Linked DNA regions of Arabidopsis thaliana. The protein of the gene in region 3 interacts with the protein of the main gene of each other region in a pairwise test. Each region holds a gene or a part of one and is shown on either strand. Other genes may lie near its edges.

What was found.
Region 1: the proteins of PUB22 (region 3) and HSPRO2 interact in a two-hybrid assay, tested with the Arabidopsis thaliana proteins (one study listed by BioGRID).
Region 2: the proteins of PUB22 (region 3) and AT5G42220 interact in a two-hybrid assay, tested with the Arabidopsis thaliana proteins (one study listed by BioGRID).
Region 4: the proteins of PUB22 (region 3) and ABCF5 interact in a two-hybrid assay, tested with the Arabidopsis thaliana proteins (one study listed by BioGRID).

What each region holds. Positions count from the first base shown.
Region 1 is NC_003071.7:16,699,962-16,704,174, forward strand, and holds HSPRO2 (ortholog of sugar beet HS1 PRO-1 2), read right to left. Parts: upstream 2,376-4,213; 5' UTR 1,996-2,375; coding exon 688-1,995; 3' UTR 529-687; downstream 1-528. UniProt on the Arabidopsis thaliana protein: Positive regulator of basal resistance.
Region 2 is NC_003076.8:16,870,130-16,878,240, reverse strand, and holds the start of AT5G42220 (Ubiquitin-like superfamily protein), read right to left. Parts: upstream 6,004-8,111; 5' UTR 5,747-6,003; intron 5,285-5,746; 5' UTR 5,280-5,284; coding exon 5,151-5,279; intron 5,057-5,150; coding exon 4,939-5,056; intron 4,635-4,938; coding exon 4,536-4,634; intron 4,444-4,535; coding exon 4,328-4,443; intron 4,234-4,327; coding exon 4,147-4,233; intron 3,972-4,146; coding exon 3,777-3,971; intron 3,690-3,776; coding exon 3,620-3,689; intron 3,548-3,619; coding exon 3,393-3,547; intron 3,262-3,392; coding exon 3,097-3,261; intron 3,020-3,096; coding exon 2,948-3,019; intron 2,877-2,947; coding exon 2,759-2,876; intron 2,682-2,758; coding exon 2,439-2,681; intron 2,366-2,438; coding exon 2,217-2,365; intron 2,134-2,216; coding exon 1,942-2,133; intron 1,821-1,941; coding exon 1,290-1,820; intron 1,066-1,289; coding exon 928-1,065; intron 849-927; coding exon 786-848; 3' UTR 764-785; exon of another isoform or gene 509-763; intron 140-508; and 1 more. Other genes in the region: AT5G42210 (Major facilitator superfamily protein), read right to left, coding at 7,673-7,741.
Region 3 is NC_003074.8:19,440,001-19,443,952, forward strand, and holds PUB22 (plant U-box 22), read right to left. Parts: upstream 2,428-3,952; 5' UTR 2,251-2,427; coding exon 943-2,250; 3' UTR 617-942; downstream 1-616. UniProt on the Arabidopsis thaliana protein: E3 ubiquitin-protein ligase that negatively regulates water stress response. May control in coordination with PUB23 a drought signaling pathway by ubiquitinating cytosolic RPN12a.
Region 4 is NC_003076.8:25,916,207-25,922,302, forward strand, and holds ABCF5 (general control non-repressible 5), read right to left. Parts: upstream 4,049-6,096; 5' UTR 3,488-4,048; coding exon 2,660-3,487; intron 2,567-2,659; coding exon 2,225-2,566; intron 2,048-2,224; coding exon 1,907-2,047; intron 1,815-1,906; coding exon 1,635-1,814; intron 1,528-1,634; coding exon 1,270-1,527; intron 1,165-1,269; coding exon 1,036-1,164; intron 951-1,035; coding exon 750-950; 3' UTR 516-749; downstream 1-515. Other genes in the region: AT5G64830 (programmed cell death 2 C-terminal domain-containing protein), read right to left, coding at 37-123, 214-306; AT5G64850 (sorbin/SH3 domain protein), read left to right, coding at 5,379-5,396, 5,660-5,938.

The DNA.
Region 1 (4,213 bases), on a different chromosome or scaffold from region 3:
AGAGAGTGGAGATTTAGGGTTTCCGATGTGAGCGTCAGAGGAAGGTAGGAGAAGGCATCAATGATACAGAAGATAGGTTATGTGCCAGTGGGCCTACAAACAGGCCCATTAAATGTTTTTCTTGGACTAATGAATGAATACTCATTCAAACACTTCCCTTCTTTCTCTTAATGAAATTTGTTGAACACAAAAAACAGAGAAAGGCAATGTCGTTTTATACATCGGTTTGGTTACTCATCGTCGGTTTGGGTTTTTTATAACGTTTTTGTGTGTGTGTTTATCATTGAATTTTGAATATTATACACTGTGAAAGTGAAATTGTGTTTTTCTCATAATTTAACATCTACAAAGGATAGGTGTGAAATTGTGTTTTTCTCATACACTAACATCTACGAAGGATAGGTGGTGATTTGTTGACGATTAGTCAGAGCATATAGATTAGTCGTTACTCGTTAGTAGACCACCCATATTTGAATTACGACTTGTGGATAATTCAAAGTATGGATTACGATATTCGTAAATGTTATCGTTTGTTAAAAAATCTCATAAATCATATAAAAATGAATTTGTATTCAAATATGGATCGTCAAATGTTCCAAAAATTTCACTATCTTACAAACTAAATTAAACCAAACCACCAATTTAAATTTATATTAAATAATTATACCAGCAGAAATTAAAATTTAATCATCCCAAATGACTCCAAAACTCTCCCAGAAACGTCTTTGCCGCGTCAAGGCTCGGGAAATACGTCGGCTCCATAAATATCTGACTCAGTGAGTCACACGACTCTTGACTCGCCGTCGCGTTCATCTCCGCACTTCCCATCATAGCCGCCACTAACTGCCTATACCCAAAGAAGAAACTCTTCGCCGCCGCTTCCACCGCTTGCATCCCCTGAAGCAAATGAATCTTATCGCACTCTGTCTTCCTCGCGTAAAGCTTCATCGCCGCCTCTTGTAATCTTGGTCCTCCGGTTGGATCTACCTCAACCGCCAAGACCGCCGGTACTTTCTGTCTCAGATCTTTCGACATCTTCATCATCTCCACTAATCCTTTAGATCTGAAACAAAACGCATCGTTTTTACCCGTCGATTTGATCTGTAACTGTTTCTTCAATTTCAAAAAATCTTCCGGATCCATCAACATATGAAGATCTTCAATCTCCGCTAAAATTTTCCAGATCTTCTCCAGCAAGTAAACATCGTTTGAAGCTTTTCCGAATTTCTCTTCTTCGATACTTGAGACGATTCGATTCAGAAGATTTCCAGATGCGTAGATCCACGATTCGAGGATCTGGTGAATGATATAGAGAGTTTGATTCTCGTGATTATCGATATGATCTGCGTATGGATTATCCTTGAGGCTATAGATCTCGTTTGGTCGGCAAATCGCATCGTACCGGAGATTTGGTTTTCCGGCGATGTTTTGTTCACCGAGTCCGAGCGTGTACTTACACCGACTCATCTCGTTATCGATCGTATATAAGATCTTCTTCCCCAAAGCCTCTGATCTCCTCCACGTAGCTAGCTGCGGTAACAAACTCAACGAACTCCGTCCACCGCCGACCGGAGCCTCCGCTGATATACCTTCTTCTTCTTCATCTTCGCAGATCGCTGCTACAAGCTGGATCTGCTTCGTGATGAGAGAATCTAGCCTCCGGTTCCATTCACGGTGGTTGATGTACGGTCTAGTATCAGAACAAACGGCGAAAACTAATCTGAAACTGATCTCCAAAGCTTGAAGAGCTGGTTTGAGAATCGGCTCTGATGTCCATTGAGGAAAATCACGAGATGACCAGAGCTTTCTTAGCTCAGGGAGACGAAGGTAAAGCTCGTAAGCAGAGCAAAGAGCAGGTGCTGAACATGAGATCGGAGATGAAACAGGGACGATTTTGAACGGTGATGGAATAGTTACGTGAAGCTTTGAAGAAAGCTTAGGTGAGTTTGGTAAATCTGATGATACCATCTTCCTCTTCCAATCCATATCAACCATTTTTATTTTTTTAAGGTCTGTGTTTTTTTTGGTGTGTGTGTTTGTGTTTGTGTGTTAAATTTTGAATTTGAGGATGAGTTTAGGATACGAGGAGAGTATATATAGAGAGAAATGTGGATAGAGGATGGGGACGAGAAAAAAGGCGTGTGGAATAATACCGACGCGACTGATTTGAAAGTCAGCGTAGAAACGCGGTCTCCTTTTTAAAAAAAAAAAAAACCAGTACTGTGGATTAATTTCAGGATAATCTTTTTTTCGTTTTTTGGCTTTATATTGCTTTTTGAACTGTTTTCTATGAAAGGTAAATGCCTGATGATTAGTCGAATGTTCAGTAATCTGATTTCTAAGGAAATATCGAATATTTTCTCGTTTTTGGTAAGATATTATCTTTTAATAAAAGTTAAAGTTAAAACACACAGTCATGTTCATAACATGTTAATACATATATAGAAATGTTTTATTTGATGATATATGCGATGTAGTATAACATTTAGGGGTTGATCGATAAGAATATAAAATTTTCTGCAAATACATTTTTGAAAGTCAGTCATGCGTTATGGGTTGTCACTTATGAGCAATATTTACAAGCTGTAGATAGTTTTTGATCGAAGCAAATATATAATAATTTTGATAGTTGTCGATCTACAGCTACAAGTTCAACTAATCATGCACATGGTGTTTTGAATATATATCAACAATCGTAAAACATAACAGGTGTCATGTACCACATAAAACTGAAAGAAAACAATGTTTTAGTTGCAAATATGAAAAACGTCATTTATTTTCTATAATGAATTGAATAGAAAAAGAGAGAAAAATCACGTATTTGTTTATGTATATTTATGTATAAAACGGACAAAATTGTGAAATTTTAGTAGCGTAATGACGGGCAATTAAAGAAACTCAAGAAAGCATAAACTTAAATTCGCAACACTAGAGATTTTAATACATGTTTGATGTTTCCCTACAAAAGTTATAAAAGCTCTATCTATAAGGTCAAACAATTAGGATAATACTTGCAAGTAGGAGCATTATAAGACAAATATACGTTACGATAAAATTATTGCTCAAAATTAAATTTGGATACTAGAAAAGTGTATAGTCCGCAGTTTTCACAAATATAGTGTCCCCTAAATTAGTACTGTATCGTGTTATCAGTATTTGAAACGCGTATATAATAAAAATGACTATTTTTTATTGTAGTGTGGATAAGCATTTAGACGGTGCCGTGTTATGAATTGAAAAAGGAATGGCACATGGAAGTAGGAGGAATATAGATGCGAAGCTTATCCAAAATATGTGAGGAAGGTTGGAGTTTGGTCTCACTTAATCTTCTAATAGTGTTTTACTTGGAAGCTGTCGTTTCCTTTGACTTTGGTTTTTCTTTTTTCTTTTCCAGTTCAATATTCTAATCTCACCGATTTTTTTGTTTATTTATTATATACGATAGATAAATTTTGATTGTAATAAGACTGTTTTGAGATTTCTTCACCAAATCTCTTTTAAGTGCATGAAATATATTTTTTGTGACCAAGACTTTCATGGATGTTTCTGTTAATTTATCGGTACATTGGATATTGAATTTAATTAATACTATCAGTTGGAAACGGTTCGAGTGAAGACAGACCATTTCTTCCATTACATATTAGACATTAGACAAGTAGATTATAACAAAGGACAAATGATTATATAGTTTGAAATACAAATTAGTGGTCTATAATCTTCTTTATGTTAAGAGTTTTCTTTTCAAATAACTACTTATGTTTTAATTGGTATTGTTTACATCTATTTTACGTACGTCACTTGTTTGCACTTTGCACTGATCAAAGCCATCTTTAACAATAACGTTTTTCTACAACCAATTACACCCGCCTAGTAAATTCGAGACACATATTCTCTTTAAAAAGAATAAAATGTTACAACTAGTAAATTCGAGGCATTAGTCTTACCCTAAAACCAACTTTTTATATATGTTAATAAATACACTTTCTTTAGCTATATTGTTTTGGTTACTGAATCATTCCACTATTCATATCATTTAATATACATCCTATACTATTACGTTTTAAAAAAAATATATATATATGAAAAGTATGCAAAGAAGTTTGTAGATTGACGACAAAAAAAAAAAAAAAAAAATGTAGATTGTCTGCTTATTTTCTATTTTCCTTCCTCATTCCTTAACTTTGAATTCAAATAACTAAAATAAGTCATCTTT
Region 2 (8,111 bases), on a different chromosome or scaffold from region 3:
CTTGTCTTAGGAATGTTCATGATCTCCGATGTCGCTAAGTCATGGCTCGCTGATCTTGAAAATCTCTGAACCCATGATGTTTTAGTTCAATTTTGTCGTCATCCTTAATTTTTCCGGTGGTGATCAATTGTTCACAACCCTTGAATACGTAAAACCATAAAACAAATTTTAATAATCTTTTAGAAATTAAATATAAAATAAAACAATATTATTAATTTGTCATAATCCAAAATTATAAATTTGTACAACAAAACAAACACAACAACTTTGTAATTTTAAACATATTAAAAATTCATAGTAAATTTTATAATATATAATTTTTTATAAAAATTAAATAATATATAACATCTTATTATTGGGGTTGTCGTGACAGTTCATTTTTCTGAATTATTCTACTATTTATTAGTTTACATTCCATATTTATTGTGCAATCTTTATTACCTATTTGTTAAGGAATTAAACTAAATATATAATTTGCTACAGTCACTCGTTAGTGTAGCCCTTTAGCCAAATTTTCGATCAAAACCAAAATTGTCAGTTATAAAGGGACACCTTTTTCCCAAGTAATTTGGTCAATGTCGAGAGTTATGAGTAATCTCTGGTTAAAGATGGAAATATCAAATTGAATCGGCCCTTTAGAGACCAGATAAATTACGTTTGCTTATGTTTAGCAGAGTATAGACCATCCCAAACCCTAATTCTTAATACATAAGTGAGGGATCTCAGCAAATAAACAAAGATACTTCAAAGATATGACACTTACAGAACCAATTCAACCAAATATCTTATAGACCTTGATCATCTTTTAGCCGGCCTTCGATATCACGTCTTAGCAACTCCGCATATTCCTGCAACACTCAAATACAAGTCTGATCAAGGAGTCTTTATTTTTATTAAACAAACAAACTAGTCAGTTTTGATGCTTACTTGAGAAAGAGCTTCATCACAGCAAAGCTCGTTCACTAGTTCGTCTTGGCTTATCGCAGCATTTTCGACCATTGCACGGAAGACATCCTCTGGTGGATCAGAGTGCTCAATCATTTGAGCCATGGATTGAACATTTACCTATTTGGAAAAAGTAGAAAAATAACATTCATTACACGAGATAGAACAAGAGACAATGACGTTTATTGTAATACCTAGGTAAGAATGGTGTTACTTTTTCTACAACTAAAAAAAGACAACAACAAAATCCTACTCAGTCGATAATAGTATCAGTTTTTCTTCAGCCACATTTTTTTCCTAAATCAAAAACGCAAGAAATCCAAACCTAACACTCGTAGATGTACCTGAGAAGGTTGACGATCATCAGGCTGTATTGTTGCGGGATGAGGCAATGGCCCTCCTTGGCTAAAAGCACGTGAGACTAGAGGCATCATTTGTTGGACCATTCTAGAGAAATCAAAGCCGCCGCCCTCGCCTTGAGCTCCACCTGACATCATATTTTCTATCTCTTGCCCATCCACCTGTTGCGCAATCTGTTGGACTGTGTTCATGATCTGTGGATTCTGGGTAAACTGCTGGAGCATATTTCTCAGCATATTTGGTGAATCAACACCAGCTTGTCGAGATACCCCTGCTAGCAATCCATCCAATACAGGGCTCTCCAGGACCTGAGACATTGCACTTGAGACATCTACACGATCATCTGAACCTTGCCCGCGTCTAAGACCAGTCTCATCTGAACGAGAACTACCAGAAAAGAGAGATTGCAAAAGCTGCTGACCACTGGTCCCACTGCTTTGTTGCACACCTTCAAGTGTAGCTGAAGTCCCGCTATCTTCAGTCTTACCTGATACCTTCGGCTGCTTGCTTCGTTTCTTTAACCAAAAAAAACATACTATGACTGTAAGCATTTGGAACTATGACACTTGTGGATATGCTATGCAATGAAAAACAAGCAGCAGCAACTTGACGCTTATTTTTCAACTGATTCATTACCTTACGGTCTAAACCGCCAAGCCCCAATCCAAGTGGTGTAGCTGTAGCTACCTCTGGAGTAGCCTTATTGGTTTCTTTGGCATCACCGGTAGCATCTCCAGACGGAGCTGATGATTGTCCTGTAGTACAAGAGGTATCTTTTGCTCGGGCTGGATGCTCTAAATCTCCACCAAGATCTTTTTCATTTTGACACTGGTTGAAAAAACAAAAATTAGTGGTAGGCTAACCCTGGTGAACATAAAATAAAGAATCATCTGATTGCAGAGAAGACATACCACTGAGTTGCTCCTCTCAGATGGTAAGTCATGCAGTGAGCCACTAGACGACTCAGGTGCGCAAGTAGTTGCAATGTTGGTAGGCTGCTCAGGCATAGCAGTGGCAACACCATGGCCCGTAGACATATCCCTCTCGAGAGATTCTATTCCTGATTGACACGTGAAGAAGAGCTTGAAAACATTTCGTCCACAATGTAAAACTTTAGTCAGCAGGAAACCTACCCGATGGAATCTGGTCTCTTCCTTGCATAATGTTTACCATATCTCTTATCCTTGCATTGATTTGAGCAACTGAAACATCATCACCCAAACCAGGTTGAACCCCAGCAGAAACGTTCTCACCGGTAGAGTGTGATGGAACAGCCGCAGGAACTGAACTTGTATTGCTGTCACGGTCTCCTTGTCCTCCTTCTCCATTGCTTCGCTGGTTCCCAACTGATGACAACATAGGTGAACCTGATGTGCCTGGTAATTAAGTATGAATTTTAATGGAGAAGAATTGTGCAGCTAAGTCCAATAGCAAAAAAGTGAACTTCACCCACCAGCATGTATGTGAATATTAATGTGCCTTTGGGCAGTTCCTAAACCAACAGGTCCGGTTAGTGGATTTGATGAGACAGTAGCACCAGTAAAGAGAGGGCTGATTTGGTGAGGAAAAGGCTGCAAAATACAGTAATAATTACATAAAAGTAGAAAATTAATTTAGAAAAAAGATGAGACTAGAAGCTTACCTGAACCATAATAGGATTCGGTCCTGATGGAGATATATACACAGCAGGCCCTGCATTCACATAGGATAATTCCTGTAGATCAAAGTGTTAATGAGCCGCATGTCAAGAATGAATAGGAAAATGCACGAAAGGAATGACCCAAAACGCACCGGCGACGGTGCCATTCTCAATGTCAAAATTGTGCGTCCAAGCTCCAGTAGGAGGGCCCCTAAATGTTGCATGGCAAGACCTACTTGCACGGCCTCTGTCTGGATTTGTGACCTTAGAGTAGGATCTGAAGATGAACCATCTTGCTCCAGACGTCCCGCAATATGCTACAACAATGTTTTTGCAAATTACAAACAGCACATAATTAGATGACAATGCATGGTAACCATATACATAACAGTTCTTGTAAAGAGAAAGAATGGAATCAATTAATAAGCAGTGTGAAGAAGGTGTTTACCGATAAAGAAGAGACACCGAGACCACTCAGTAAATGTTGTGCATTCCTTAGGACAACAGAGAGTGCTTCAGGTGTTGCTGCACCTCGTCTATTTCTAGGCAACTCTTCCCTTGGTCGCCCTCCGGATCCAGCAGAAGAGGTATCTGGCTGATAGCCTGGAGGAACATCCAATTAACTTATTTATGTGTTCTCTATCCAATATGACAATAAAACTTAGATCACAATACCATTTTGTGATAATGCCTGCTCCATCCGATTAATGAACTCCATTAGAGTGTCTAAGGAATCCGGAATAGGCTGCAGAATTAGAGAGTTACATTGTAAAATGACAAGATTAAAGCTCTAGTCTCAAGATCAAAATACTACTACGTGACTAAGAACTACCGTTAAGAATGAAGGGATAGGAATCGTTGTGGCTGCTGTAACAGGAATCTGAACTACACGAGGCATCGATGTTTGAAATGATACACCAGGAAATGCTTGCCTAGGTTGTGAATGACCCGTAGCTTGGCTTTGACCACCAATGCCAGGCTCTCCATCAGATGTATTTCCAGGAGGTGCATTAGACGACTGATTCGACTAGGAAAAATAAAAGCGCATGCAACATCGAGTTTAGAAACAGGCAATAGTTGATGACAATATGAAACCTTACACATCAAATAGTAACAACACCTGATTCTCAACAATCCTTAATGTAGACTAAGCACTAATATGGAATAAATTCGAAATAGAGAGTGACGAGAAAAAAACTCACGGGCATAGAGGATTGCGTGCCATTAGTACTGTGATTTGTAGGAAGCTGTCCACTAACTCCAAAAGAATTTAGAACTGCTCCAATGACCTTAGTAGTTAGCAACACAAAATTAAAAGCAGGTTAGCCTAACTAATCAAACCATCCCATAGGCCAAACAATATCACAAATCCTTGGGGATTACCCGGCTGAGGTCTGGAACAATGCCTTCTGTCTGATCTCCAACATTAAAAGACCCAAGAACTACGCTGTGGGAGACATGTCTTCCATTTCGAGATGGTCCACCATTTGTATTATTTCCTGTTGAATTAAATAACAAGTTGAAATAAGATGATGGTTGTGTTAACAGCTCTTTTAAAACTCAGAAAGGGGATAAAAAATAACTTGATTACCATCATTTGCAGTTGCCCCTTGTGAAGGTGTACCAGAGGAAGGAGCTGATTCTGCTGGCTGCCTCACAATCAAGTGTAAAGTATGCCCATTTTCCAAATCTATGACGATGTCAAGTTATCAACTATACTGAAAGTAGAAAAGCGATGGAAGGAAACGACAGACATAAACTAAAACTAAGCTTATCGAAGGTATATATATATATATAGTTCTCTTTCTGGATTACAGCTTCCTCTACGGTGTAAGACTCACAAAAGCAGAGATGCACTTGATCAATCAAAAACTAGACTTCCGACAGATTTGGTTAACATGCATTTTATACACAGGGCACATGGCATAATGCAACAAACAGCTACACTATAACATAAAATCAACAAGTTAACAAAGTCGCTAGCACTAGGATACGATACTCCGAGAGAGGATGATCATCTTTCAAAACCCGTCCTCGGAAAATGAGCCGCTGCTGACCAACCGGCACCCCTGTCTCACTAGCAATCTTCTCCTTGAATAGCAAAACAGTTTCCTGCAACAAGTCAAGCCCTAAGCAGTATCAGATATAAGCAAACTAAACTTAAGCAAATATGCAGGTGAAGCAGAAGAAGAAGAAGATTTCTTACATTCTTGTTCACTTGGAAAGTATACGTCCGCGAGTCTAACGTTTTGATGTTAAGCTCAAGGGTTGATTCTGGAGTTTTCTCCGACGCATTGGTGCTACTAGAGCACTGGTTAATGGGTTGATCTTCCATGAACCCTAAAGTATTAAAATTTAAAAAACATAAAGCTTGTAAATTCATCTTACAAAAGAATGATCTCATAATAAACAATATTATCTCTAGGGTACTCAAATCAAAACCTTTACCACACACATTTCCAGATATTGATCATACAAAACAGAATCAACAATGAGACACAAACAAATGACATAACTAAATGCTAGTCATTGTAACAAAAGACCAAATCCTATATATATGCAAGTCATTGTAATAAAAATGCTAAAAATCAAAAACTTTCACCATCCAAAGCCACAAACAAAAGACCCAGACCCAAATAAATGCAAGTCATTGTAATATCACTGTTCAAAAATCAAAACTTTCACCGTCCAAACCCAAAAACAAATCTGCTAAGGCAAAAACAGAGCCTATAGATACGGAAAAAAAGGATCAAGATTTAAGAAAAAAACAATCAAATTCCATGAAGGCAACGAAGAACGAACCTATTTGCCGTCGTGGGGTATTGAAAAATTGAAACTTTGGCGGAACAAAAGACTCTCCGATTGAAATCTAGAGAAGTATCTCAAAGTTGAAACACGAAACCAAACCTGATGTGTTCAGAGTTAAAGGGGAAGAACAAGGGCGATTGTGTCGGGAACTCGGGATTTTGGTGAAATTGAAAAGAAAAAGAAGAATCTAGAGGAGGAAGATACAACGACGACGTTTTGAAAACCTGAATTGACGCTTCCGCGAATATAGGCCTAGTCTCCGCTCTAAATGTGGACTCTTCTATTAATAATATAAAGCTGGGCCTGGCCTTTTTAACCATATCTAAAATAAATTTTAAACATGTGCTTCTTTTTCTGTTTTATTATGTAATTTTGATTTCTAATATTTAAGTATTTAAGTTTACACATAACTGGATTAATCATGAAGATTATGGTTTACATATAACTGAAACGAATCTATGTTATTGTTGTCGTTAATAATGGTTATTATTTTATTATTTTTTGTCATCAAATTATATTAATGTTCAAATGAGTCAACTTTAGAAAAAATTGTTTACATATATGAAGCGATTCAGTACGAATTTTTCGTGCCAAAGTATTCGTTCTAACATTTGCAGTATAAGAGATTAGAGATAGAAACAAGCTTGAGATTTTTTTATTGTCACTCAGGCAAATCTTTCAAAATTGTAGAATACACCGGCCATTAGGTTAGGGAAAACACTATATTCATTAGGTTTGAACAGTCTGTGAAAAACACTACATGTTGGTTATGTGTCGAAAGATCATTTAAAGTTTAGTCTGACAATTTTGCGGCAGTGTATATGCAAACAACAACAAAAGTAGAACAATCAAAGCATATAGACATAGAGTGTCATATTGTGTGAGAAAGGATTCAAGATGATGTGGTTTCAGTTAAGCATATAGGTAGAAATTTCATGAAAGCGGATCCGTTAACTAAAGGTATTCCACCTAAAGTTTAGTCCACATTATTAGTTAAAATACAAAAACAACTAGATTTTAACCTGTGGTATACCGCGGGAACAATTTATTTTTTAAAGTTAGTATATATAAAAGTTTACAAATTGTATCTATCTATAAAATAATTTTATTTTATAGTTTACAAATGTTATTAAGTATCGTCCTGTCAAACCCGTCCTGTAAAAAAAAAACTATTTATTTTATTAATGTTGATCTTATTTATGATATGTTTATGAATCATTGTCTAAATATTTTGTAATTTTGTAGTAATTAAATGCTATCAGATTATATCTCTGCGCTTTGATGATTATAATCGAATTGTTATAGTTATGGAGAAAATCAATATCAAAAATGATAATTTTGTAGTAATTAAATGATATTAAATATTTTGGAAGTATTATTTTAGTAAATAATCGTGTAGTTAATGTGGAGATATTTTGGGAAGATTGTTAAATGTCAAATATTTAATTCGAATATTTTCTTTTTAATTATCAAAAACAAACATTAAAATCCAGTGGCAGCCATTGTAAATAAGTCACAACTAAAGGATTTATTTCACAAAATGGCTGCAAAAATGTATATATAGATTATAATAAAACATGTTTCAATTATGTCTATATATACAAAAATAATTATGATGTATATAAATAAATTTAATGATACAAATATTGGAGCTATTTTGTTGCTTTAGACAACTAAACTAACTTTGAACTCAAAAAAAGAAAGAAGATATCTAAATTAACTGAAACGGCCATTAAATATGGTGTTTCCCCTAGGAGTTATTGACTAACCTATACAAGCTATTGGTGTCTTGCTGACTTTAGATATCATAAACCCGTACACAATATGGGTTAAAAAAAAACATCAAGGATTCGACCAATGCAATTAAAACCTGTATATTATCTTTCACTACGAAATCCATATGGTTTTGAGGAAACTGTGTTATGGAGATCCCATAACTGATATTGGTGTTGCTGCTCTGATCATCAGGCTTTGGATGAAAGCTATAGTCTACAAAGAAAAACAAAGTAACGGACATTATATATATTATTTTTCTTAGTAATCGAACAACTCATATAACTTTGAGGAATCAATTAAAAGGTTTATATGTTTCACATACATTGTCATATAACTAAATGTTAAACCAAAAAAAAAAGAACTGAATGAGTTAGTGATTTTTCATGGGAAATTAGATAAGATTTAAAGTTTCCTTTTTGCACAACCAACAACAGCATTCGTTGTGAATTAGATAAGAGTATGAAAACTAAGAAAGTAAAAACTAATTAAAAGGATAACGTTCCTTTCTTGGTTTAACCGGACATTTATTTGTATAGTTTCATGGAGGCTAACTTGAGTGAATTTCAGTAGAAAATGCAAAAAC
Region 3 (3,952 bases):
GACCATGTTCCCTGATTGCTAGAACCGAGGTGTATAAATACAGAGATTCTTGCTATATAATATTGCTATAACGTGCTTTAGATTCCTATATTCATCTATCTTTTGCCTTCGATCTACCGATAATGAAATGTCTATTGATCGTTAAAACGCATGCAAAGAGTTTTCGTAAACAGTTTTTACCACGTTTAGTCTAAATCATTTTAAACTGAGTGATCTAAAAAATCACAATAAGTGAATACAAAATCACATATATATGAAGGACTTTTGGTATGTTTACATAATAATTAAGAAAACAAATCTTAATTAAGAATTTCTTAAAACAGAAACTCATCCTCGAATGAAAGAATGCCCGTCGTGGATATCGTCGATGTATACTGGAATATATAAATCAATAGTGGGATTAGAGTTGTAGAACGTACCGACATAATATATATATATATACATAATTACATTCGCAATGTTACAATTCTGGCATCAATTAAATGGTCAGAAACGTTACACATGACGCATACAAATCTCTAAAAGTATTTGTAAAAAGTAATGGTTTTAGCAGAACTATGATGTAACCTTTAGGTTATCCACTCAATAAAAACGAGAAGTTGAAAGAGATGTTCTCCATTATTATTGTGAGTAATGGACAAAAAGAATATAAATAAGGAGCCTCTAACAATTACGAACAAAGCAAGTGGGATAAAATAGCCATGTAACCTGTGAATCCATTTATTTCTTTGCAGTTTTTTCATAATTTCATGAAAATATGTCCACTATTATCTACACATAATGATAAACATTGAAAGATAATAAAACAAAAACAAATGAAAGAAAATCAGAGTTTGAGCAAAATTTAAACCACTCTTTTTTGTTTTAAAATGAACTTATACGAAGAATAATTCTCAAAGAATTGTTTGTATCTGATGAGAATTATTCAAACATGTACGTTGTTCAAGCAGGATACGAATCATACAAATTTCTTGGGACACAAGGTGATTCCCTCCAAACCCTAGCGTGAAGCTTAAGCAATTCTTTAGCCTTTTCTTTAGTCTTGTTACCACAGCTAACTTGAAGTACCAGACACAGCTTTGCTACAACTCCCAATTGCAACATCTCCTGCAACAAAGAGGGTGTCGCGCAGAACCTCCCAACCGAAAGCAAAACCCTAACTGCCCTTTCACTAGTTATTTGTGAGACCCTCAATATCTTCTTAGACACAACCGCAATAGCGGCACCGTGATTCAAGAACTCAGCTCTTCCTTCTGCGCACTGACATAACATATCAAGAACCACCATCGCCATCTCTGAATTCCTTCTCTCTGATGAGAAAGTATCGTCCATTAAAAGCTCGATTATCATCGAGATTGTTCCACCTTCCACTGCCTTGTGTCTATTCCTTCCCCATGGACATGTGATCACCAAGATTTGCATTGCTGATCTTGTCGCCTTGTGAGAGATCTGGTCGTGCAAGATTTGAATCACCTCACCGAAAAGTTCTCGTTCCAACAATATGATCTGCATTGGATCCGCAACTTCCAGGAGCTTCTTGAGAAGCAAAGCCGCATAGGCTCTTGACTCGTAGATCCCACGTTGCATAATCTTCGTCAACGTTTTCACAAGATTTGTTCCTTTCTTGTTGTTTAAAAGACTCTTGAGGGCTGTCTCCGATGTGTCAAGATGGTAGAGTACGCTTAGGGCTTCGTCCATCAAGCTTCTTGAAGAATCAAATCGATTCTCCAACATGTTTGACTGACACATGTCGTTGAGATTCGAAGAAGAAAGTGAAGAAGAAGGAGAGTTATACGTATCTACAGAGTTGCTTACGATATTTGCCAAAAACTCCGGAACTTCTGCGGCTTCTAAGCACCGTTTGTTGGTTGTATTCTCAGATACTATTTGACGAAGTCGTTTGAGGCATTTGACTTGGTTTAGATGCGAAGATGACGACTCTTTGATAAGCTTTTCGATCTCCGATTTACAGATCGGAGGTTTTGGAGTTGGGATCCTCTCTATACCATATGATGCGTTGAGGGTACACCAAGATTGAATCAAACGGCGAAGAGTGTGGTTTGGGGTAAGATCAGTTTCGGTTATGACTTGTTTGGTGACTGGACATGAGTTTTTCTTACCGGAAAAGAGCCACTTCTCGATGCTTTCTCGGTCGTAGGTTATTCCGGTGGAAACTATCACCGGATCTTTCATGATATCTAGAGAGATTGGACAAAGGAAGAAGGAAGGAATCTCTATCTCTTGATCCATTTGACCCGCTCGAAAATATGAAAAAAAAGAAGTAGACTTAATCAATGGAAACGACGAACGAATCTAAACAAAAAGCTTCAAAGTGCAGTCGTTGAGATTTAGGAGATATGTGAATTGGTTTGAATAAGTTAGCAAGAAGATAGATGAAGAGTTTGGGTCTTTAAATATAAAGGGATAGTGGAAATATTCAGAATAATTACAAAAGTCAAAACACGGAAAATACAAGTATTGTTAAAACTCTTTTTGGATAGCTGTCGCTATTTATTTATTATTGTATAGTTTTTTATTAGAACGAACGAGGAACGTTATATATAGATTTGACTTTTTTTTTGGGTGGTGTAACAAAAGAAACTAAACTATAAATGCGTTTCTCATATTAAAAAAAAAAGTGAGACGTATGAAGAGTGTTGACTTGTCAAAAGAGATGCGATAACGGCGAAGAAAGTGTAAAAAGTAACCAAGTCATTGGGGATTGGTTGTGGCGGTGTTGAAGACAAATAGATTGTCTGTTTTGTGTCTCTTTTTCGTTTTACTCACATGCCATAATTGCTTATTCCTCCTCTTTTTTTGCCATCCCCCATTGACTTTTTATTTCATTTTACAAAAAATTGTAACCTAAATTGGCTGGCTTGTTTCAATTTTCAAAACTATGGTTAATATAACTGTTAATCAACCGAAAGGTAGATGAAGATTTTTAGGTTTTTAATTTTGTCAACAAAAAGAAGATTACTGTTTTTGGTACCGACAAAACCTAAAGTGCCATTAACGGTCCGTTGTTGGATTTTGTACATTGTTTTAGGATGCAATCTTTTGTGATACTTTTGGACCCATACTCCCTTGTTATGCTCTACTTTTGTCTAGGCGCTTCCACAATATTTTGGATATTCATATTTTCAGTTATTTTTCCTCTCTTTTTTCCTTTTATCTTTATATATATGTTGGCTTTGATCTTAGTGCCAATGGATATGCCTCTCATCTATTGGCAAATGCATAAACTATATACGTTTTTTATCTGCTTTTGGTTATCACTGAAGTTTTGGTATTCTTTTGAGTCTGATATCTATTTTGGTCAATTACATTCGATTAATTAAATAGTTTTGGTATGCATAAACTATTTTGGTACCACTTGTGGGACATTGATAACTCAGTCTCTTCAAGTTGTTTTATCGTTCTTCCGATTATCAGGGATTCACTTAATGTTTTTATAGAACGTTATATCATTTCATCTTGACAATATATATGAGTTTTTGATCTGTCGATGGACATCTTTACTTCCATTTTTGTTTTTGCCATTAAACAAAATCCATAGGTTCTACAATCCAGTAAACTCTAAACATTGTCATTTTTAAAGAATTACATACATTTTTAACCAAATCTATATCTATATATATATACCACTTTGTGTTTTCCAAAGACATCTTTCGATTTCAAACATTTTAGTTATTAAAAATTGCATATATTACGAAAAAGTCAACATAATATGATTTACAGCTTTATATACCCTATGATTAATGAACTTATGAGTTATGATATTGGTTATTTACTAACGTTTAAGTAACGGAATGAAAAGTGTATATATGATAAAGATTTTCTGCTGTTTTTTTAAAAAAAATATACGAAGAGGATATCATCGATAGTCCGTTATCCTTAATCAACACTTCTATACCTTTTAAGATTTCAAATGAACTGATATTTCTCTTGT
Region 4 (6,096 bases), on a different chromosome or scaffold from region 3:
CCTAAAAAGAGTGAAGCTTTGGATTTGAACAAAAACCTGAGCTACGAGAGAAAGTTTACTTCCACATGAACAACAATTGAGTAGTTCTGGTTTCAGTGCATCATCGGGTATTGGCGGCCAATCCTAAAAACGCACTTTGATCAAAAATCAGAACGAAAGAATTGAGCTTTCTATGAAAGGAAGGAACAGAGAGAGCTAGGAAGGAGTTATTACCGGAAGACCACCGATTTTGGTTGTGTAGTGATCAGAAGGCTCAAGCTCATCTTCTGCCCACTTCCCAGGCAACCCCAGAAGAATTCCGACCATTGTTACAGTTTCCCGATCAAAGTAGAACAGAGCTCTTTGGTGAAAATAGCTCCTACAAGGTTTCGAAACTTTCGTTGTATCGAATGCGATGTTGATGATGATGAAGAGAAGAGAAGAGTAGACCCCGGTTAGTGCTTTGAGATAAAGCCCTAACCGGTTTTCCCGGTTTCCAATCGAAGTAAATGGTTTAATTGAGTTGGACGAATATTTGAGCCAATATTAGGTTTTGCACTGAAATTCAATGGTTTGGTTCGGTTCGGTTCCATGTTTGAGAATAAAGTTTCTTAATTTTTACCCAATGGGGCTCAAGTGTTGTAGAAACATTAATACTCTCTCTGCATTTCTAAAAGTAATATCTATATACATTCCACAATGACGATTTTGTGAGACTGTGAAGAAGCCTTTTTTATAAATCTTGACTCCTTTCAGTTTTCAATGTTTGTTCAGTTCCATCTCTTGGAGTTCTTGCTAGCCTTTGACTTCTGTTTAGCTTGTTGAAATGCTTGCATCTTCTGCTTCTTCCTCGCTTCTTTCTCTGCTTTTGACATCTTTGACTTTGCCTTCACTTTTGGTGCTTTCTCTTCTAGCTCTGCTTCTCTCTCTAGCTCCTTTGTTCTAGCATCCAGATTCTTCTCCAAGTAATACTGAGACATTCACACATTCCAAAAGTTAATACAGAGATCATATTATACTGGAAAAAATGTAGAAAGAGTGCAATCCGAAGTGTACATTGTAGTCGCCTGCATAATCTTCTAAACAACCATCTTCTACTTCTATCACTCTGTTAACGATTTGTTTGATGAAGTATCGATCGTGGGATACCGCAATGACTGTACCTTGGTACTCGTTTATCGCTTCCTGATTCAATTGAAAAAGAGAATTAGCCTATCTCCAGGTCCAGGAACAGAGTTATTATCATTGTATCCAAAGATTCTCAACAAATTAGAGATGCCTACTACTAACCTCGAGCATTTCTTTTGAAGGAATGTCTAAGTGATTGGTTGGTTCGTCCAAAACGAGTAAAGTAGATGGCGTCACCATGAATTTGCAGAAAGCAAGACGCGCTTTCTCCCCACCACTTAAAAGAGAGACCTTTCGATCAAGCATGTCTGCTTTGAAGTTGCAGCGTCCAAGAAGACCTTTTATATCATCACTTCTCCAGTCTTCTGCAGCTTCACAAACAGTTTCAAGCACTGTTTTATCCAAATCAAGGACCTCAGCCTAGCGAAAGAATAACCAAAGGGTTGAAACCAAATTATGTCAATAAAGTGAGCAAACCTGTCTCCAATTGTTTAGCTCTTGAATTGATTGAGTAAGTGAAAACTGACCTGATTCTGTTCAAAGTAGTTTGGCAGTACATTGTGCTCTCCAAGAATAACTTCACCTTTCACAGGCTTCTCTAAACCCATAATTAGCTTCAATAACGTACTTTTCCCACAACCGTTTGGCCCAAGGATGGCGATTTTCTCCCCTCTTTCTATTGATAGATTAGCCTTCTTAAATAGCATCTGCTTTTTCAACAATACACATTTTTCACAGGGTCAAACGTGAGCGATTAAGGATTTATACTATTGTCATGAGTTATACTCTAGTAACTCACCTTATCCTCGAAACCAAAATCAATGTTTTTAACATTGACTACCGATCTTCCACTTGTCCCACGCTCTGGAAACCTAATCTTCATCTGCTTCCGCTGAAATGGCTTCTCTATTAGCTCCTGTTCTTGAAGCTTCTCTAGTTTCTGTTACAAACAATACAAGAGGAAACATAAGCTTCAACGTCTCCAGACGGTTCACAGATAAAAGAGCAAGCCAGAATATTGGCTTAGGAAACAGTAGAAATTTTTTTCCATTAATGTCACGCCCTAGCAATCACCACAATAGTTCAGCAAATTAGCATATTCTTTTTGTTTGCAAACCTTTTCTGCAGTGGAAGCACGACCAGAATTGGCACCAGCACCAAGCCTGGCGATCAAGTCCTTAGTTGAGTCGATATCTTTCTGTTGCTTTTCCCACGCTGCATTCTGAGTTTCGATCCACTCAGCCTTTGAGATCACATACTGAGAATAATTACCCTCAAATGTCCTGGACACACCCATCTCAGTTTCCACAATTTTAGTACATAACTGATCAAGAAAGGCTCTGTCATGTGAAATAATAACCATAGGCACATCTTGCTTTTGCAAATAACCTTCAAGCCACTCAATAGTATCAAGATCCAAATGATTTGTCGGCTCATCAAGTAGCAGCAAATCTGGATCCTACTCGCAAAGAAACACACAATTCATTCACATTAGCTTTGAGTTCAAACTCATTGAAAGGATAAAACTTTAAGTAAACAATCATTCATATACCTGAAGCAAAATCTTTCCAAGTGACATTCTCATTTGCCATCCACCACTAAACGAAGCCACAAGCCTATCAGCATCCTCAGGAGCAAACCCTAATTCCGGCATCAACTTACTAATCTTAGCATCAACGGAATCTAAATTCACAGCCTGAGCTCGTCTCTGCAACAAATCAAATTCATCTAATAACCTTCCCATAAGATCCAAATCATCAACAGATCCCTCAATAGCCTTCTGAACTTTCTCAAGCTTCTCAGTAATCTCCATCTCTTCCTTGAAAGCAGTCATGAACTCTTCCCTCACAGTCTTACTCATCGAAACCTCAAATTCCTGGCTCAAGAAAGCTACTTTCATATTGGGTTTGGCCTTGATTACGTTACCAGAATCAGGCTCTTCTTGACCAGTGATAATCCTGAGCTGAGTCGTCTTCCCAGCTCCGTTCACACCAACTAACCCTACTTTCTCACCTCTCTTCACTTCCCATGTCACATCTTTAAGCACAGTCACGCCTTTGTAGCTTTTCCTTATGTTCTCTAGCTTCACACCTGAAGATATCCCAGAAGCTCCGTTTTTGGAACTCTTCCCGTTTCGTTTCCGATCGGAGTCTTGCTGAGAGGGTTGCTTCGAGAAAAGAGATTCGATTTCGTCTTGACGCTGTTTAACGGAGGTCTCGAGGCTGATGGTGGAGACTTGGGCTCTGATGGTGGAGATATCGCGTCTAGGGTTGGAAATGGAAGAGATTTTGATGAAATTGGAAGGGATTGGAGATGTACGTAGACCGGTGAAGAAAGTTGAACGGAGGTCGAGGCTATGGAGATTCGTTGATAAACCCATGGTTATATGTAGCGATAGAGAGCGCGAGAGAATCTCGCTCTACTGAAGAAGAAGAAGAAGCAGCAGAGTAAGAAACCCTCGAGAGAGAAATCAAAAGCTTTGATAAGAGTTTCTCTCTATCGTTTTGAGCGTGAGCCACCAGATTTTATTTGATTTTTTTATTAGTTTGTATTTTTTTCTCTATATTCGAAAATATATCATTATCAATTATCAATAAATAAAATCAATACTTAGAAAATAAATTAATATTATTGACGACCAAAAAAGAAAAACCCAATAAAATTATCTTCAGTTATCACAAAAAATTGGAATGAAAATAGTGAAAAATCGAAATATGTATGGAGCATGAAATATGTATGGAGTACTATTTTACAATAAAAAATGTATTTGGTTGCAATGTTTGTAAGTACTAATGGTAGTTGTATTGCAACTTTCTATGAATGACAAGTAAATGCATTCTACGATTGTATAATTCTAGTTTTTGAAGACCATATTTTGATATAATGCCAAAGGAAAGAAGTGATACAAATCGGAGTATTCATTTTTACTAACTTTGAGTTCTCTGCCACATGCAATGCAATGTTCTTACAAAGTCAATAAATGGATATGAAATAAAGACAAATATAACACACACAAAAAACAAACGAAAGAATCTAATTTTGTGGTGAGGAAGAAGGAGAAGAGAGGGTAGAAGTCTTGAAGAGATAACAAATCCGGTGAAGTTACCTCTTTTGTGGTTCACATAGCTCCTTTGAAAAACAGACACTTCTCATACTCTGCCACGTGTCTAACTATATCATCAACCACGTCAGTTTCTCTGTGGATCTCTTCACGCCACATCGTCACGCAACTTGATTTCTTTTTAAATTTATAGTTTTATTAAGTTTTTGGTCGTTATGTATATGGTTTTAGTAAGTTGAATTCGTAATTACAATTTTAAATGAATATGCGTCAACTTATTCACCCGTTAATTTTAAATTGGCTGTTCATGGAACTTAAAACGTACGAGCACACATCTTTTTTCTCAAATATGACTGAAATAGTGAAATTGGAAATGAAAATTAAGAATCAACATGTATATATATCATGTAACGGCTCGCATCATTAAACATGAATTTATGTTAATCGCCTCCATGACTAAATAGTTCGGGATTGTTAATAGCAGTCATACAGTTGACGAAGCAAAGTCGTACTTATTTATATCTTATTGTGGACTTTTTTGTTGCTGTAGATGATATTTAAGTGGATACAGATTCACTAACGTCGGCTAGGTTTGATTTTATCTAACAAAATACACAAAATGATGTGAGTTTTTTTTTTTGGGTTCTTAGTGGAGTCAGTGTGTGTATTCATTCAGTGTTCACTAACCGCTCTAGGAACAAAAAAGATAAATGAAAATGAACTAATCAACTCCAAACAAATTTTGCTTAAGCTATTGGAAAAACATATCACTATAAATTTAATAAAATCAGTTGCCGGCCTTCAAATCTTCACCAATAAACTTATGTTTTAATATCATAACTTAAAGGTTAGACCATTAATCGACAGTATACTAAACGACGTCATTTAACAGGAAATGAGAGCAAAGCTGACGCGGATTAAGCGTGTGTGCGTGTCCGAACGAATGGCAGTATCGTAATTAATGCACAAAAGCTAACCTTTTCCCGAAGCAGAAAAAAACAAAATAAAACAAAAATATTTTTGATATGTTGTGTACAGTATAGTTGTATCACCACCAATCGACCTGTTACTTTGCTGTATTAAATTTTGGTATACTTTTTCTTTCGCTTATAAATTGCTCTGTATCACCCATCTTCCTCCTAAGATCATCTTTAACTTATTATAAAAAAAAAAAACAGGATTCACTGCTAGCTACAGAAGCTTTGATCACATGGAAGATCGAAAAGAGGTTTTTATTTTTTATTTTCTGGTCTAATCCCTTCGTCTTCTGTGTTTTCTCCTTACATAATATTAAAGTTAAAGTGATACATTAAATAAAATGGGATGTTCATGTCAACTTCTTGCATTAATATTCGATTTTGATGTGAGAAATTAGTCTCTGAATCTTGGTGAAAAAGTCTTTTTTTGTGTGATTGATTTTTAGGATTGTGTTTTTTTCTTTCTAATGGTTCTTGAAAATAAAAGTAATTGAAATGGAGATTTATTTGGCAGAACAAGAACTCGCCATGGCTATCAGTACCACAGTTTGGAGATTGGGATCAAAAAGGAGGATCAATTGATTACTCAATGGATTTCTCAAAGATCAGAGAGATGAGGAAACTCAACAAGAGAGATGCTTCTCGAGCCAGTCTTGGCAACGAGGAAGAACTCATTAACCCTTTTCATGATCAGCCTCCTGTTGATACTGCCAAGCCTAAGAAGCTAACTACGGTTCACAGTGACAACAACAACCGCAATGAGTTCTCTCACCATCACCCACACTCTCCTTCTGTAAGATTCTTGTTGCTCTATCTTAAAGATTCATTGTTTTGAATGTCAGTCCATTGTATATGAATTTGTATTAGCTCCTGCGTTCATTGAAACCGGTAGGTAGGTGTTTTGACTTGGTTAGGATATGAAATCCAACTTTTTAGCCTTATATGGTTTAT